Linked DNA regions of Sus scrofa. The protein of the gene in region 1 purifies or fractionates together with the protein of each later gene. This does not show direct contact. Links are inferred from orthologs where the notes say so. Each region holds a gene or a part of one and is shown in the gene's direction. Other genes may lie near its edges. The genes, in order: TOP2A, SMARCA4 and SRPK1.

What was found.
Region 2: the proteins of TOP2A (region 1) and SMARCA4 purify together in Homo sapiens (affinity purification with western blotting; 3 studies listed by BioGRID and IntAct, with this or other methods). This does not show direct contact. The link is inferred for Sus scrofa from reciprocal best matches to the Homo sapiens genes TOP2A and SMARCA4.
Region 3: the proteins of TOP2A (region 1) and SRPK1 fractionate together in Homo sapiens (co-fractionation; 3 studies listed by BioGRID and IntAct, with this or other methods). This does not show direct contact. The link is inferred for Sus scrofa from reciprocal best matches to the Homo sapiens genes TOP2A and SRPK1.

The regions. Positions count from the first base shown.
Region 1 is NC_010454.4:22,011,173-22,014,823, forward strand, and holds part of TOP2A (DNA topoisomerase 2-alpha), read left to right. Parts: intron 1-411; coding exon 412-504; intron 505-1,168; coding exon 1,169-1,283; intron 1,284-1,386; coding exon 1,387-1,508; intron 1,509-3,106; coding exon 3,107-3,255; intron 3,256-3,651. UniProt on the Homo sapiens protein: Key decatenating enzyme that alters DNA topology by binding to two double-stranded DNA molecules, generating a double-stranded break in one of the strands, passing the intact strand through the broken strand, and religating the broken strand.
Region 2 is NC_010444.4:69,737,557-69,741,207, forward strand, and holds part of SMARCA4 (transcription activator BRG1), read left to right. Parts: intron 1-1,036; coding exon 1,037-1,163; intron 1,164-1,707; coding exon 1,708-1,881; intron 1,882-3,207; coding exon 3,208-3,381; intron 3,382-3,651. UniProt on the Homo sapiens protein: ATPase involved in transcriptional activation and repression of select genes by chromatin remodeling (alteration of DNA-nucleosome topology).
Region 3 is NC_010449.5:31,677,274-31,680,924, reverse strand, and holds part of SRPK1 (SRSF protein kinase 1), read left to right. Parts: intron 1-1,742; coding exon 1,743-1,851; intron 1,852-2,861; coding exon 2,862-2,949; intron 2,950-3,651. UniProt on the Homo sapiens protein: Serine/arginine-rich protein-specific kinase which specifically phosphorylates its substrates at serine residues located in regions rich in arginine/serine dipeptides, known as RS domains and is involved in the phosphorylation of SR splicing factors and the regulation of splicing.

The DNA.
Region 1 (3,651 bases):
GGTCTTGCTCAGTGGGTTAAGGATCCCCACTGAGGTTGCAGGTTCAATCCCTGGCCTTGCTCAGTGGGTTAAGGATCTGGCGTTGCTGTGAGCTGTGGTGTAGGCTGCAGATGCGGCTTGGATCTGGCATTGCTATGGCTGTGGCGTAGGCTAGCAGCTGTAGCTCCGATTAGACCCCTAGCCTAGGAACCTTCATATGCTGCGAGTGCAGCCCTAAAAAGACAGAAAAGCCAAAAAAAAATATATATATATAGAGAGAGAGAGTAGAATGTTTTCAGTAATCATATTCCAGAGAAAGGAGGCATATATTTTAGAAAACTGAGATTTTGTTGTTTATTAGTTAATTTCTTATAGAAGAAATAACTTGGAACCTGTCTACCAGTGACATCTTTTTCATCTTCTAATTTGCAGGCCTTTAGCAAAAAACAGATAGATGATCGAAAGGAATGGTTAACGCATTTCATGGAAGATAGACGGCAACGAAAGTTACTTGGCCTTCCTGAGGTACAAAAAAATTTTTTAATATAGCCCACGAAATGTACTATTTATTGACCTTTTAGAATTGACAGAGCAAATTAAAATTAATAGTTATTTCACTAGAAATGTTAATAATAGATAACTGTATATCCTTATTTAGACACCTGCATAAATGTGTTAAACCTGAAAGAAACTAGAAAGTTAATGCATTTTTTTTCTAATTGTGCAGCAGTTAAATTCGCTTTGTCTTTAAAACATATAAAATACTTTTCATAAATCTTTATTTTTGAGGGATTTAAGAATTATCATGGAGAGAGTTCCCATTGTGGCTCAGTGGAAATGAATCTAACTAGCATCCATGAGGATGCAAGTTCGATCCCTGGCCTTGCTCAGTGGGTTAAGGATCCAGTGTTGCCATGGGCTGTGGTGTGAGTCACAGATGTGGCTCGGATCTGGCATTGCTGCGGCTGTGGTGTAGGCCAGCAGCTCTGATTCAACCCCTAGCCTGGGAACCTCCATATGCTGCGGCTGCAGCCCTAAAAAGACAAAAAGACCAAAAAAAGAAAATTTTTTTTTCATGGAAATAACAGTGCTAAGGAATGCCTTTGTTTTATTTTTGTCTTAATCGTTGTTATGACCAGTGATATTTTTTATTTTTAACTAGATCATGTAACACTCTTTGGTTTCTCAGGATTACTTGTATGGGCAAACTACCACATATCTGACATACAATGACTTCATAAACAAGGAACTTATCCTGTTCTCAAATTCTGATAATGAGAGATCTATCCCATCCATGGTGGATGGTGAGTTTCAATTTATTGGTCTATTTTTATTATAACATGGAAATCAATGCCCAGAAATGGTTAAATTGAGGATATTAATATTTACACTTCTTTCGTTTTGAAGGTTTGAAACCGGGACAGAGAAAAGTTTTGTTTACATGTTTCAAACGAAATGACAAGCGAGAAGTGAAGGTGGCCCAGTTAGCTGGGTCAGTAGCTGAGATGTCCTCTTATCATCATGGTGAGGTAAATACATAATCCATAATGTTTCCAGAAAGCATTATAGCAGAAATACCTGCAAAGTCAGTCTCCAAACAGTTGGTGAAAATATAAGCTGGTATATCCATAGTGGAGAGCAATTTGGTGAAAACTATCAAACTGTAAAATGTGCTTATTTTTTGACCTTACAAATCTATTTATAAAAATAATATAAGGATACTATAATCAAAAGACATGCAAGGATCTATATTCAAAAGTGTTTAATAATGTTTGCTGTAACTTTGTTATGCCACAATTTAGACATGAAAAATGTCCATCAATTGGAACATTACTATAAATTGTGACACATCTATACATGGGATCAGATTTACTTAAGTAAATCTATGTGTGCTAACACTGAAGAATGTCCACGTTCTATTGTCAGGTGAGGGAATAAAGGAGGCAGAATAATACTTGAAGGATGTGCTCCAAATTGTTAACTTTGGTTATCCCTAGGAATTGGAAAGGGCAACTTTCCAGTTTTTCATATATGTCTGAATTGATTTTGTACAAACATACATATTGGTTTTGTTTTTGTTTGTTTGTTTACTTGCTTTTCCAGGGCCGTGCCTGTGGCACACGGAAGTCTGTGGGTTAGGGGTCGACTCAGAGCTGCAGCTGCCGGCCTGCACCACAGCTCACAGTAGCGCCGGAGACTTAACCCACTGGGCAAAGCCAAAGATCAAACCCACATTCTCACGGATACTAGTGGTGTTTGTTACCACTGAACCACAATGGGAACTCCTACATATTCATTTTTTAATTTTGTGATTGAAGTTGCTTTTTTTGCATTGATGTAAAACAATTTTAAAGAATTAGGTTGCCTGTAAGTTTCTAGAACTTTAAAGGTAATGATTGCCTTGCTTGTTGCTTTCAATCAAAATATAGCAGCTAGGAGTTCCTGCTATGGCACAATGGTATTGGTGGTGTCTTGGGACACAGGTTCGGTCCCCAGCCTAGCACAGTGGGTTAAGGAATCCAGCATTGCCACAGCTGCGACTTAGGTTGCAAGTGTGGCTTGAATCTGATCCCTGGCCCAGGAACTCTATATGCCGTGGGGTAGCTAAAAAAGAAAAAAATTAAAAATATATACATGGGCTACTCAGTAAATGTTCACACAGTAAACATTTGTTGAATGCTTACCATCTACCAAGTGTACAAAGATAAATCATATGTTTGCTACCTTTAAGGAGTTAAAATCACAGTTTAACCATATGACTATCTCTTTCTCTCTCTCTCTCTCTCACACATACAAAATGGTAGAATAGAGTGATACATGCTAGAATAGAAATGAGCAAAATGTTTTAACACAAAGAAGGAAATATTTCATTCTGCTGAGGGTGAAGAGAAGAGCTATGCCTTTAAGGTTGAGTCAGATGATAAAAACCATGTAAGGCAAGAGCCCAGAGCTTGGAGACAGAAGTCTTGGGTTTAGATACTACTTCTGTTATGTTTTCATATGTAAAAAGCCAATAAAGATCTACATTTCATAAAATCTTACAGGAGTATAGTGAGGCATAGTCATAATCAGACAGTTATTATTAAAAGCCTACAGATAAGATTAATGAATCTTTTTTCCCCCCCAGATGTCACTTATGATGACCATTATCAATTTGGCTCAGAATTTTGTGGGTAGCAATAATCTGAACCTCTTACAGCCCATTGGTCAGTTTGGTACCAGGTTGCATGGTGGCAAGGATTCTGCTAGTCCTCGATACATCTTCACAATGCTCAGGTGGGTATGCTTCCAATTTTCAGTGAATTGCCATTTCCAATTTTGAAGTATTATGACATTTAGTTGACCAAAAATTTTTAAATTCAGTTAATCAGAAAATATGTCTTTGTTGCAGATGCTCGGATATTAATTTTTTTTTGTCTTTTTTTGGTCTTTTTTTTGCTATTTCTTGGGCCGCTCCCACGGCATATGGAGGTTCCCAGGCTAGGGGTCGAGTCGGAGCTGTAGCTGCTGGCCTACGCCAGAGCCACAGCAACGCGGGATCCGAGCCGCGTCTGCAACCTACACCACAGCTCACGGCAACGCCGGATCGTTAACCCACTGAGCAAGCACAGGGACCAAACCCGCAACCTCATGGTTCCTAGTTGGATTCGTTAACCACTGCGCCATGACAGG
Region 2 (3,651 bases), on another chromosome or scaffold:
CCTCCGCACTCAAAAGGCCACCTGGCAAGCTTTGCCCAGGCCTCCTGGGCGCCAGGTGCTGTGTGAGATGCCTGGCGCACAGTAGAACTGTATCACCCTGTTCCACCCTGTGGGGGTGCCAGAGCTTCACTTCCCAAGCTCCTTGCACTGCCTGTTTCTCCATTATGACTTGTTCAGGGCTAGCCTCCCTTGGTAAATAAATATTGGCTCCATCAGAGGAGGGGGCTGTGCCTTGTGCACCATAAACTCCCCAGATGCACCAGGAAAGCTTTGCCAAATGACCGTCTCCAGAGTGCATCTCCAGCTGTGCTGTGCCCTGGAGCTCCAGCCCCTATACCCAGGCACCTCCCCATCTGGACGGCTTAAAGATGGCCTGTCCAGATGGTGGTACACCCACCCACTTTCCCCTCCTGTCTCTGTTCCCATGCACCTACCATCCTGTAGCTGAGTGGACCGTGGCCCCCGTGGCCCCTTGACCCTTGCTTGCCCTTCCTCATCCCTGATGTCCGCTTGGTGAACCCTTTCAGCTTCCTTACCCCCAGCGCCTTTCACCTTGCTGTCTGGTCTATGCCTCCTCCCTGCTCTCATCCTTACCTGTGTACTGTTTCCCATACAGGTTTTTTGAAGTCTCTTTTTACAGTTAGCAACCCTGGAGGGTGCTATGAAGGGTCTCCCCACTTCACACCTAAGGACACTGAGGCTCAGGGGCTAAGTAGATTCCCAGGGCTGGGATGGAGACACTGGCTGCCTGATTCCAGAGCCTGGCTCCCACTGCTGAAATGGCAGAAGCCTGCTGCGCCCTGTCAGGTTTCCTGTTTGCCGTGGCTCCCGAGACCTCTGCAGCTGCTGTCCTGTGTGTAGTCTGTGTTGTGTGGCCTCCTTTTCTTAGCCATGTCCTGTCTTGTGACCAGTAGCAGCCTCCTTCAAGGGTTGGATTCTTCTGAGGTTCTGGCTTTAAAGAAAAGGAAGAGGTGTGTTCCTTATAAACAAGTGAGACCTCCCATCACCTGCTCTTCTTTCTATCTTTGCACTCTAGGCTGCAGGCTCGCATCGCACACCGAATTCAGGAACTTGAAAACCTTCCCGGGTCCCTGGCCGGGGATTTGCGAACCAAAGCGACCATTGAGCTCAAGGCCCTCAGGCTCCTGAACTTCCAGAGGCAGGTGGGCGCAGGCGCAGCTGATGCTTTAGGAAAAGAGCCCTTTCTGTCAATGTTACTGCTTCAGGTCTTTAAATGCACCCTGACCATTAAAAGCCTCAGTGCTCACCCACATTCATTAGGTCACTGTCCCCCCCCTTCCTCTGCACATCCTGCCCAGTGGAGGAACTGCTCAGTGAAGGCACAGGCTGAATAGACGTGGGTCTTCCTTAAGGCGGCAGTGACCAGCTTGAAGCAGGGAACTTAGATGGGTCTATTGCTGAGGGTCCTTTCCTTTTGAACAACCAATAAGAAATTTTGTTTGATTGTGGTTGAGGGAGGGTAGAACTGGAGACCTGAGGTGTGAGAGTGTTCTCTGCCGGGTGTCCAGAAGCAGCCATCTCCCAACCCGAGGGCCTCACCATGTGTCCTCCCCGTGCACACATTTGTGCTCATGGGTCCTTCTGGGAGCGGGAGCCTTCTGCCCAGCTTGCCATGTGGAATTGTGCATGTCATTCAGATGTCGCGGAGTTGTACCCGTTACCAGTTTCTCCTCTTCCTTCCTGAAGCTGCGGCAGGAGGTGGTAGTGTGCATGCGGAGGGACACAGCCCTCGAGACGGCCCTCAATGCCAAGGCCTACAAGCGTAGCAAGCGGCAGTCCCTGCGCGAGGCCCGCATCACCGAGAAGCTGGAGAAGCAGCAAAAGATTGAGCAGGAGCGAAAGCGCCGGCAGAAGCACCAGGTAGGTCCCTGCAGCTGCGCGTTAGCCTGCCCACATGTCCAGGGTGTCAGCTTGTAAGCTGCTGAGCCTTGGTTTATCTGTCAACACACTGTCTGTGTCTCTTTTCCGTTTGTTATGTCAGTATTCTGAGCATTAAAAATACATCAGGGGACAAAGCCAAATAGTAGAATCAGATGCGTGTATAACATGTTGGAAGTTAATAGGGTGTAAGGAAGCATGAAGTGAGGCTAGAGCGTGATGGAGGATGGTCCGTCTGGGAGGTCCTCCCTGAGCAGGTGAGCTCTGAGGCCCAAGGGAGGGAGCCACCAGATGTGTGTGTTTCCAGATAGAGGGGAAGGTGCAAAGGCCCTGGGGCTGGTTGTGTCCCACTGCTCTGTGAAAAGCAAGGATCCAGTGTAGTCAGTGGAGTGAGCAAGGAGGCGAGCAGGAGGTGGGGAGAAGGGGGAGGTGATGGGCAGAGCATGCAAGGCTTCCATGGGGCGAGGGGATGACTTGGGCTTTCACTCTGAATGAGATGAGAGCCCTGGAGGGTCCTAAGCAGAGGGAGTGATCTGGCAGAGGTTGTTACAACATCAGTAAAGGAAACCAGAATCTCTCCTCAAATAGGATTTGGGTTGATTTTGTTGATATATGTTTTATGAAGTTTTCTCCTATCAGTATCTATTACTGATACGGTTTATGATAACAAAAAAGTCAGTGCTCAGTGTTAGCCTCTGTTAACATTTTGGTATATATCATTCCAATCTTCTTTTTTCTTACATATAGTAATCACAAGTTAAGCAGCCACTTTTTAAAACAACATACACATGTTGACCTGTTTAGAGTATTGTTGAAGCATGATTTTAGTGTCTACATTGTAGTCCTTCTCAGTATGTCCAGCATCCAGTAATTTATGAAACCATTTCCTACTGGGGGACATGCAGTATATTTTCAGCTTTTCAATATTAAAAATAACATTGGGATAGACTTTCTTATACTTGAATTTGGGGGCCAGTCTCTGCTCTTTTCCTTGAAATAAATCCCTAGCAGTGGAGTGATTTGGCTGGCAGGCAGTTGTGTTTGGAAGCACTTGGCAGACAGTGCCAGGTGGTCCCAGCCCAGTGGAAGCCCTGTGGACTACCCCATCTACTGTGCACGAGGGAAGGCCCTTCACGCCACAGGCCGGCATGGAGTTTTATCCCGACGCAGAGAATGCTGGACTTCATGGGCATAGGGTCGATGTGTTGTTTAGATTGTGCCCTCTGGGTTTTCACCAAGCTACCTTTGATGTTCGATGCAGCGACTCCTGTCCTGTAGTCAGTCTGCTCTATTGTGTGCTTCCTACAGGAATACCTCAACAGCATTCTTCAGCATGCCAAGGATTTCAAAGAATATCACAGATCAGTCACAGGCAAAATCCAGAAACTCACAAAGGCGGTGGCCACTTACCACGCCAACACAGAGCGGGAACAGAAGAAGGAAAACGAAAGAATCGAGAAGGAGAGAATGCGGAGGCTCATGGTACAATTGGCCTTTGTGACCCGGGTTCCTTTGTGTGTGTGTCTCTCTCTCACAAGCATGGGGATTGACTGCCCAGGATTTCGCTGGGGTATTTTGCTGCTCAGAGTTAGAAGTGGGACAGAGGAAGAGAGGGCTTGGGTTTGGGAGTCCGAAGGACCTGTCACCAGACCTTTGCCGGGCCACTCCAGCCGTCAGTGACCACAGGTTTGCTGGATGCTCTGTGCTCTCTGGAAATTGGAGGTGGCAGCCCCTTCTGATGGAAGAGCCACC
Region 3 (3,651 bases), on another chromosome or scaffold:
CTACCACAGCCACAGCAACACCAGATCCGAGCCACATATGCAGCCTACCCATGGCAACACCAGATCCATAACCCACTGGGTAAGGCCAAGCATCAAACCCACATCCTCATGGACACTGTGTTGGGTTCTTAACCCCCTGAGCCACAACAGGAACTCAGGCATAAACAGGGGGGTTTTTTTTTTTTTGTTTGGTTGATTGGGGTTTTTTTTGTTTTTCTGTTATTGTTTTTGCATTTTTAGGGCTGCACCCATAGCGTATGGAGGTTCCTAGGCTAGGTGTCAAATCAGAGGTACAGCTGCTGGCCTGCACAACAGCCACAGCAACACAGGATCTGGACCTTGTCTGCAACCTACACCACAGCTTATGGCAACACTGGATCCTTAACCCACTGAGCGAGGCCAGGGATGGAACCTGCAACCTCATGGTTCCTAGTTGGATTCGTTTCCACTGTGCCACAGCAGGAATTCCCAGCATAAACAGTTTTAATGCTTTTCTCTAAGTACAGGAATTAGTATTCCCTTTTAGTAATTAAAACTTTGTTTTATATTAAATCTGTTTCTATTCCTTTTCTCCTTAAATATGGTAGTGCATATTTACCTTAGAAATTTCAAAAATGTATTCAACAAAAAGAAAATAAAGGCTATCTGTAGTGCTGTCATCCAGAAGTAACCAGCGATAAGATTGGATATACAGACTTGGAAAACACTTGCTTTTTCATTATTTTTTTCTTAAAGTGTTGATTGCTAACATATGTTAACTGGAATTAACAGATACTTAAACTGTTTTAGAAGATTACCTGATATGTTTCCTTATGAAACTTTCCAGTATTCTTGGGTAGCTCTTAAAACAGAGTGTATATTACCATCGAGGAGAACCTGGTTGTTCTTAGCAGCAGAGATGTTAAAATCCCTTGATTCCTGCCACTGTTGGCAGCCTCTTTAGGCCTTCCTGGTTTTTTTCTGTTGTATTATGTGTTTTAGAAAAGCAGTTCCTTTTTTTATTTTAAGTTAAGTAAATAGAACTCATTAATTTCTCTCCTAAAATATATCCCGAGGGAGTTCCCTGGTGGTCTTGTGGTTAGGGCTCTGTTTTCACCTCTGTGGCCTGGGTTCAATCCCTGGTCTGGGAACTGAGATCCCACATCAAGTTGCAGCATGCTGCAGCCAAAAAATTTTTTTTTTAATTCTGAGACTACAACCGTAAATGGATTTTATAGTTTAGATAAATCTGTTGAATTATTGAGGGGCAAGAATGGTGTGATACATAACCTTACTCTTGTTTGGGGCTGACTTTATTTTTTTAGGTAACTAAAGCATCACTTGCTCACTCTTATTAATCATTACTCTTATTCTCTAAGATACTTTTTTGTAGCATGAGCTCAACACTAGTGTGTGGCTGACTTAAAATTGTCCTTTGTTGAATTGACTGTATTAGAAGAAACCAATTTGGGAGTTCCTATTGTGGCTCAGAATCTGACATAGTGTCAGTGAGGATGCAGGTTCCATCCTTGCCCTCTATCAGTGGGTTAAGGATCTGGTGTGGCTATGGCTGTGGCATAGGCACAATTTCGTAGGCCTTAGCTGCAGCTCCTATTCAGCCCCTAGCCTAGAAACTTCCATATGCCCAGGTGTGGCCCCCCCAAAAAAATGTATTTGATAAAAGGTGTATTGATGTTGAAAAATGGGTTGTAAGATATCCTTTCTTACGTAAAGTGACTGTTTTCTTCCTGTTGTTCTTCCAGGAGGCTACCATCTTGTGAAAATCGGAGATCTATTCAATGGGAGATATCATGTGATCCGAAAATTGGGCTGGGGACACTTTTCAACAGTATGGTTATCATGGGATATTCAGTAAGTTTTAATGGTCCTGCAAGTGAATTAGGTCGTTTTTAAATGTTTTGCCTGGTTTTCCACCTTCAGGCTAACTCTAGACTAATTTCTTAATCAGAATCTTAACTGTTGATAATCTTTATGTTCTTGGCCAAATGACTTCACTCTGAAGCACCTTAGAGAAACAAGATTGATTAAATTAGTATCAGTAAGGTGCTTGAAGCTCCCAAATTCGAAGTATGGGATGTAACCTTTCAGTTTTTCTCACAGGAAGGAGTAGAGTAAAATTTTTTTATTGTGTCCTTTAGTTTCACCTATGTGAAATTATTTTTGTGTGTGTGGTTTCTTTTGCTGACAGATTTGCTCAGCCATACAATCTAAAACCTCTCTATGTAAAAACCGCAGGCAGTTAACATTGGGTGTTTACCTAAAAGTATCTTTGATGAGACAGCAATTGCTGTCTGTGCACTTAGGTTATAAACAGTTTTTCACCCATGTATTCTGGCTTCTTAGAGGAAAGTGTTAATAGCATTTAACCTTTTCTTTTTTTGTTTTGTTTGTTCTCTTTTTTAATCATTTATATATATATATTTTTTTCTACTGTACAGCATGGTGACCCAGTTACATATACATGTATGCATTCTTTTTTCTTACATTAAGTGTTCCATCATAACCTTTTCCCTTTACCCTGGATACTTTTAGTTTGATGGAGTTTTCCCTTTTATCTCTATTTCATGGTTTTACTTTGATTCACAGAGACATTCGGAGGGGTAGATTTTAACTTAGAGAAAATGTTTGGTGTCTGACATTATCCTAGAACAGATTTTTTTTCTTTTTGTAAGTTAAATTTGGCCAGTTAGTGCCGCTAACAGATATAGACAGCCCCATTGAAGTAGAAGTTTGTATCTGAGCACAGGACAAAATGAAATCAACATTTGTAGTTTTGTCACCATTTCCCAGTTACAGTTAAATCTTAGCTTCCTAAGTAGGGGTAGGACATTTAGTCTTAATTGCCTGTGTTTGTTTCTTAGGGGGAAGAAATTTGTGGCAATGAAAGTCGTTAAAAGTGCTGAACATTATACTGAAACAGCACTCGATGAAATCCGGTTGCTAAAATCCGTAAGTATTTGATTATGAGCTGCAAAGTTTTATTAAAAAAGCATTGTCTTTTCAGTTGAGACACACCAAGTGTATACTCTTGCATGGCTGGTATTTACTGTAAAGCTCCAATATCCTTAAAAGAAGACAGTATTTGTTTTAAAATGTAGTAAAAATATGTAAGATAAAAATAAGCACTGTATTCTCTTTAGTATCTGGAGACTTTGGTAAAATGTATCAAAAACTTATTTTCGATTTTGTTATAAATTAGGAAATGTCAGTGTAGCGAAAGGAGCTTAAACTCAAAGTTAGAAAACATGAGTTTTAGGACCATCACTCTCCCAGTATGTCCTCATCATTACTCATTTCTTCTGAGCCTTGGATTTTTCATTTATTAAGTGAGGCTGTTGAACCAGGAGAGGTCCTGGGAAGTACTTTTCAGAGTGCTAGTCTGTGACAAAATAAGGAGCTCAGGCCCAAAAGTAAATCAGTGAACTGCTTCCTTCCCTGAGAAAGTTTTTCTGTGAAAAAAATGAAGGCTGAATAAACAATGTGGTTAGTTGCTTTAGTTGACTTGCATCCTACAAAAGGAATTATTTCTTTTTTTTTTTTTTTTTTTTTTTTTCTTTTTGTCTTTTGTTGTTGTTGTTGTTGCTATTTCTTGGGCCGTTCCCGCGGCATTTGGAGGTTCCCAGGCTATTGGTTGAATCGGAGCTGTAGCCA